Linked DNA regions of Macaca mulatta. Each later gene encodes a partner of the first gene's protein in a complex. Links are inferred from orthologs where the notes say so. Each region holds a gene or a part of one and is shown on either strand. Other genes may lie near its edges.

Region 1 (4,368 bases):
CTCTCTCGTAGAGTGAGAAAATCTGCTAAAATCTGACAAAAGTCCAAATGAATCCTTTCAGATATATGTAGCTTGTTACATACTCAGAAAAGTTAAGTTCTCGGAACTTGAAAGCTCTCTGAAACTTTTACAAGATGTTTCAGCTTATCACACTAGCAGCATGGTTAAGGGCAAACCAGAGCAGCTACAGAATATTAATGAATATTTTTTTCGGACAGAACACTGTACTACTCCCTGCTGTAAGCCACAACTTACTTATCAAGAAGTCAAACAATAAAGACATTAAAATCAGTGGCAAGCACTCTTAGAAAAACTGGCACCATGTTGTTTGACCACTTTTCATTATTATAGTATGACCATTTGTCCCCAGTGTCACTCCCAGAGTTAGGAAGAACACCAATGTAGAACTACATTTTCATTCGTGATGGTAATTTGGGGCTGATTTAAATTAAATTATACTGACCAGAAAGCTAAGAAGAAAGCTGCCTAATTGTTAAAATTACTAAATGCAGTGACTTTCAGAATTGTTGATTCCATGCATTTCATGTACAGAATGTTGAAGGTATTCAAAAATAACTTTAATACAGAACTTTACATTGTTAGGAAAATCACATAAAATTGTAGGTCTAGGTCTGAAGTCAACATAGATGAGTTAAACAGTCTATTTGCTTCCTTTTTACAGAATTAAGCTATTAACCACATTCTTTGTCCTTTTAGCTAGTATTCTAATAACATCTTCCACCTTCATACTCAATTTTGGGATAAATAAAATGGCTTTCCCCCCAAATGCCTGTAATCAAAATACCAATGTTTTTTATTTAACACTTCACCATCTTCAGTCACTTATATAATATTGATCAATGAGCCAACATTATTTAAAAATATGAGAATTACAGTGAGACTCTAAGTCCTGACCCCTCTGGGCCTTGATGTCCACAAATGAACAGGTAACTGCCAACTAAAGTTCCTTAATCATTTCTAAAAGTGGCCTATTGTATACCCTATCGTAAAGGGCATATGTGGTTTAAGAAAGATGTCTAAATTCCTCTAGAACGTTATTTTTGTAGCATCAGAAGTACAATAAGAAAAATAATAATAACCTAAGGGCCAGGCTCAGGGGGCTCAAGTCTGTAATCCCAACACTTTGGGAGCTCTAGGAGAGAGGACTGCTTGAGCCTAGGAGTTTGAGGCCAGCCTGGGCAGCATAGTGAAATCCTGTCTCTACAAAAAATTAAAAAATTAGCCGGGCATGGTGGCAGGCGCCTGTCGTTCCAGCTACTCAGGTGGCTGAGGTGGAAAAATAACTTAAGCACGAGAGGCTGAGGCTGCAGTGAGCTGTGATAGCTCCTCTGCACTCCAGCCTGGGCGACAGAGACCCTGTCTCAAAACAAAACAAAATAACCTAGCAATTCTATCCACCTGTTATCCATGTGGCATGTTGGCCCAAAGAAACCTTACTAATGATGTTACCAATTACCTTCCGAGAAATCTTTTTACTATAAAAGAAGGGCTGAAAAGCAGTCAATATTCATTGAGCATCTACTCTCAAGCTAAGTGTTTTACATTTTGCATTTGATTTTCACGACTATAGTTAGGAAGGTTACTTTTGGTTTAAACGTAGGCTCTGGAGCTAGACCCCATGCCTTCTCCAGGAGCTCCCGATGACCATATGCAACTTACTTTTTGCTCCCGGTGCCTCCGTTTCTTCACTCGGAAAATGGAAATAGAAACAGTAGCAATCTCATTAGAGCAGTTCCAGAATTAAATAATACACATGAAATGCCTAGAGCTAAACCTGGCCCTCGCTGTCATTGTTATAAAAATGAATTATTAGTGTAGGTAGTATTGTTCCTATTTCACAGATGAGGAAACGGAAGCTTAGAGAATGCAACTTACTAATGATCATACCAATGAGTGCAAAGCTTTGGACTTAAAAGCACGAATTTGATTAAATGAAAGTTACTTAGAGAGTGGGAGTCTCATAAATCCAATTTATGAAGCCTAAGAAATGACACGCGGTAAAAATGATACTAGACACAGGACGGGCTCTCAGGCTCGCGGACCGGGTCTGAGCGCAAAGTGGCCGTGGCCCTGTGTCCTGGTCCCGGGGTGCCCGGCAGGGGCCGGCGACTCTTGACTTCCCGGCATTCGCGTTTATAAACACCGGGAAGTGAACTGCACTGCCGCCGCCGCGCCCCCGGTCCCCAGCGGCTCCGCGAGGCCACTTTCTATCCCGGCTCCAGTCGGAGAAGACCAATCCCAACAGCGGGCGCCGACGGCCGGCTCGACGCTGCTCCAAAAACAGCAGCCAGCGAGGGAGCGAGAGACAAAGGCGCAGGACCAGTCCAGGGGCGCGCTGAGTCCTAAACGCCGAGCCCCGGGTGGCCTCGCTGGCTCCCACCTGCGCTCGCCCAGCCTGGCGGGAGACCGCAGGTGTCAGGAGCCGCTCAGGCCCGGTCCTCCGCAGCTCCAGCAGCCCCGACGTGACAGCGCCCAGGCCCGCGACCCTAGCGCTCAGAACGCGGCTGGGCCGACTCGGCGCCCGGACGCTGCCAGCGCCTGGGACCCGAGGGGGGTGGCGGTGTGCGGACTTCCTCCCGGACTAGCCTGGAATCCCGCCCCAGCCCCCACCGGCCCGCGGCCGCCCCCGCCCCCGCCCCCACGCCTGGCACAAAGGTCCCGGCGCGGCCCGGGCCGGCGGCTGTTAAGTGCTGTCGCGCACAGCAGACCCGAGGCCGCGGCCTGCACCCCCACACCCGAGGCCCGCCGGCGCCTACCTTCTCCGCGCGGCGTCCGGGCCCCGGCGCGGTGGGCTCCGGCCTGCTGTTCCGCGACTCCCGCTCGGCCTCTCCTGCGGGCTGGCGGGACCTCCCGAGTCTCGGGCGCGGCGGGTGGCGGCGGCTCCTCCTCCTCAGGGGCGGGAGGAGGGGACTCGGCGGCCCAGAGCCGCCCCCCGGCAGGAAACCAGCCGCGGCCCCGCCTCCTCTGCGCGTCTGATCCCGCTCCCGAGGCCGCCACCGCCCTCTCCCTCCGGAAACGCATTCCTCTCCCGCCGCGTCAGCCCGGCCCCGGGGCGAGGAGGAGGCGCAGGAGGAGGCAGGAAGCGCGACCGGGACAAAGGAACCGGCCCGCTCGGGAGCGCGCCTGAGGGAGGCCGTGGAGGGCAGGGCCGGGACTCCGCTGAGACAGTCGCCATGCCTCAGTTTCCTCCTCTGTGAAGGGCGGGAGGGGTCGGTTGCGCCCTAAAGCCCCGCGCGTTCCTGGTGTAGCCTGCTGGGCCCGTGTTCTTTAAGTTCCGCTTCCTCGGATCCGCGTGTCCGACCCTCCCTCCCGTTTGTCCACTGATGTCCCGTTTAGAGCCCGGGAGGTCCTGATTCCCGGAAGCCCCCTCAGTCCCGAGGCAAATCGGTACCATGAACCCCCCATACCCTGCAGGACTCCATGGGGCCAAAAACCACGTGGTCATTCTGGAAGGGAACTGGCTAAGCCAGGACTGCTTTTCTGGAGTGATAATGTGCTAGCGTGTGTCTAAGAGAAAGATGAAGACTTGGGAAACCCGTGGGTGCCACGAAGGGTGGTGGGACTGGGGAACGTTTTAGAAAACCTGGTGAGTTGGGTCCTGCTTTTGATAGATTTATCTGGAGGTCCCTTTATGGGGAACAGGGATGAGAAGGAAAAGTTTCTTCCTACGGAGTAAAGTTTCTGTTTCAAACCTCTTTAAAAAAGAAGAAAAAAAAAAGGAGATGGGGGCTGGAAACAGAACGTTTGAAAGAGAAGGAAACATTCATTATGAGAATGGCTGGGCGCATGTCGATTCGATGATTGAAGTTCGTACCAACCAACATCATACTGAAACCCAGTAATTTCAGTATACGCTGCTGGCAAGCTGCTATCCTGGTAGCAGAAAATGTTGTAGGTTCCACTTGGTGAGCTGCAGCACCCTGTTGGGAAAAGAGCTCAAAAATTACCAGATTTATGAAACTGAGAAGAATCTTGCAGGAGATGAGGGGCTGGAACGCCCATTTGGCTGCTGCCAATCTAAAATATAAGAGAAAATGAGGCGATCACATCTAAGAAAATTTGCACATTACTTACCAGCAAAATCAAAACTATTGGTTAGCCAATGTCTGCAGACCTCTAGGAAATAAGCACTATTTTTCCCGCTTAATGGATGTTCAAGCTTAAGAGGCTAAATGATGTTCCTATGTTAATATCTCAATGGTCAAACTGCCATTAGAACACAACATTCTTGAATTTTAAAGGTATGGATTTTACCATTGTTGAGAATTCATCAGAATTGGCCCAGTCTCAGCACAGAAAACTGTATAGTTCAAAAGCATAATTGGTCCATGCCTGATTTGCACTACA
Region 2 (2,829 bases), on another chromosome or scaffold:
GTCTTAAGATGGTGCCACACTACAGCAGGCACAGGACAAAGAACTGAATTTGGATGATGGTGGCAGCAATAACAAGAGAAAAGATGCAAGGCTGTGTGAGGGGAAAATCAGGAATTGGTCTACATGCAAAGGGTAAAGGACTAAAAAGTCTTGAGTCTTGAATGATGACAGCAGTAATGACTGGCAGTAAATTCGTAAACGTATTTTTTTTTGTAAAACAAGAATAATTTTGTTATTTAAAACAAATTCTGCCACAGCCAACTTCTATTTATAAGTACATTTCTAACATTTAGGTATTACACATTCATTTTTAAGTGTTAAGAAAATGAGGGCTTTTCAATCGAGGCGAAAGACTATCTTTGAGATAAAGTGTGTCTATCTGGCGATGATGTGGAATACTAACCCGTTGTTCTCACAAAATAACAACATGTAGGCAAAGCATTTCCAAAAGGCAGAAGTTCATTTCTACTAAATTGATACTATGTAAACATTAAAAACAAGTACAAAAATAACTATTAAATAAAAGTTTTGCTTTTATTTAAAATAAAATGCATTTATACAGTCTTTGAACCATGGATTATTGAACAATACTGGTAATCCACCTCTCCCTCGCACCCTTTTGGGCTATGTGAGCTAGGAATTTTCTGACTAGCACCAATACAGATTGTAACAGCGCAACAGACTAGAACATGGCCAGTCCAGGCATTAGAGTTAAGGACATTGTGGCAAATCATCATAATGAAGTCATTCTTAATTTAGTAGATATTAAAACTGCACATTAATTATATCTCTTAAAGGCATTTAATTAATGCAGAGATGCTACATTTAAGCCATTTGCTAGTTGTGAGTAGTTTTTAAAAAACTGTACAATTTTATAAAATTTGTGTTTGTACATTAGTTACACAAAATGCATACTTCATAGAACTTTACTTCATATTGTAATGCAAAGAGTTGCATATTTTAGGCAGACAGTGATTATGCTGGTGAATACTAAAAGTGTAATACAATATGGTGTAAAAATAAAAACACAAGACAATATACATAACATGCTTATTCAAGGACAAAAACAAATCAAGCACGACAGACTAATAGCATTTTCCTTCAAGGTCAAACACAATGACATTATTAAACATCAGGCCTCCTGCAGGCCTGATTTATTTGGGGGTGGGGGGAAGGAATTAAATGGCTACCAGAAGTAGGATATTTTAAAACATATCAAATTAAACATACATTAAAACACATGCATTAGACATGATAAATAGAGTTCATATAGGTTAAGGCCTGGATAGCTTTAAAATAGATGGCTTGTTTCTTACAGTTTGGCTAGCTTAAATCAGTGATGGTCTGTTCCTGATTTGCCCACTATTTCAGTTTTAAATTCATGGCCCTAAGGAATGTGTGCCAAATTCAAGTTTATTATATCCTGATAGATTAATAGTCGTGCTTGTTTAGTGCACATATTAACTGGTCTGGTAAGGCAAAGAAGTTTTCATGATAAAACGATAAATTTCAAGCTTACTTTATTAAGCAGCATATAACAAACAGCTTTTAAAGTTAAATATTGTTATGGCCGTGGAGTTTCATTAAACAGTATTTCTATTCACACCCAACCACTGGTAAGTTTGTAGAACATCTCTTCATCTAAACTCTCATTTTGGTCTTTTGCACGTGTTGAGAGAAATATGTAGCCACCAATGAATTCATGAACCACTTTGCAATCTACTTCAGTACAAATGAAGGACAATCGTACTTCATCTGCAAACTCTACGGTGACCTGGAACAAAGACAAGAATCATCAGTGCTGTCCCGAATGCCAGGTGGCGGGGTCCACACAAAACGACTCACACAACTACTGCGCTACTTAAAGCCGGTCCCATCAGAAAACACTTGTTGATCCTCAAATAATTAGTCTGTTTAAAACCTAAACTAGTAATGCCTTTAAGTCCCAAAGAAGAAGTTAAGTTTATTGCCCTTCCCCTACCCTTTTTTAAGTTTTCATGTTCTGAAAAGGAAGACTAGGAATGCAAGGGTTTTAGGTCATTCAGTTCTCAAATGGTCTCTGACGATTCAATTAACGAGAATGCCTCTCTTCAAGTCCTGGAGGAAAGCCTCCTTCCTGTGTTTTAATATTTGCTTCAGCTATTTAAACTTTAGGTATCACGTTTGAGTATTTCAGAAATATAAGATTCTTTGAAGTAACATGAATTGATACAATAAATCCAATATGATCCTAAACCAAATGACTTATTAGTAAAAGATTGTTCAATTTAAATGATATTTGTGTACTCCAAGACCAGGGGCAACATGATGTACAGTGGTAAATGTGCCAGGTTTTTAAGCCTAAAGCATCTGAGTTTGAAATGACTCTGTAGTTACTTTGTGCGTGGTCATAGACAATGGTGGCCCTCAAGCCTCTATATTGCAGTGTCTTCATTTGTAACGTACGGTAATCCAACTACCTTAAAAGGCTGTGATGAGGTTTTGAGATGGGGTACTAATGTAAGCCTCCAGTATCATGTCTGGCACAGGGTAGGCATTCAACAAATAGTAGTTGCTATTTCGGAGTAGAAGGGCTTTATCCATTACAGAAAGACAAAAAGGGCAACATTCTAAGCAAATTATATGCTTAGAATTTTAGTAACTGGGCTAATTATGAAATAGGCAAATTTAAGTGAGAAATGAATAGTCAACCATGGTCTGTCTGTACTTTAAGAGGTGGTGGTACAAACAATCATCAGAATTTATAGGCCTTTTTATTCCTAATATGCTAATTTGTATCAGAAGAACTATATTCAAGTAACATTGTGACGAGTTTACCATTTTGATTTC

The links.
Region 2: the proteins of ITGB1 (region 1) and FERMT2 are in contact, whole or in part, in a crystal structure (PDB 8TEE), measured with the Mus musculus proteins. The link is inferred for Macaca mulatta from reciprocal best matches to the Homo sapiens genes ITGB1 and FERMT2. Residues at the interface, in NP_034708.1 of Mus musculus: Ala786, Val787, Thr788, Thr789, Val790, Val791, Asn792, Pro793, Tyr795, Glu796, Gly797; in NP_666166.2 of Mus musculus: Phe609, Ser610, Asn611, Met612, Lys613, Gln614, Trp615, Asn616, Val617, Asn618, Trp619, Glu620, Ala629, Asp630, His647, Ile654, Ser657, Thr658, Lys674, Leu675, Ser677, Gly678.

What each region holds. Positions count from the first base shown.
Region 1 is NC_133414.1:34,342,061-34,346,428, forward strand, and holds the start of ITGB1 (integrin beta-1), read right to left. Parts: upstream 2,900-4,368; 5' UTR 2,778-2,899; intron 1-2,777.
Region 2 is NC_133412.1:125,994,813-125,997,641, forward strand, and holds the end of FERMT2 (fermitin family homolog 2), read right to left. Parts: coding exon 2,818-2,829; intron 1,775-2,817; coding exon 1,601-1,774; 3' UTR 575-1,600; downstream 1-574. UniProt on the Homo sapiens protein: Scaffolding protein that enhances integrin activation mediated by TLN1 and/or TLN2, but activates integrins only weakly by itself. Binds to membranes enriched in phosphoinositides.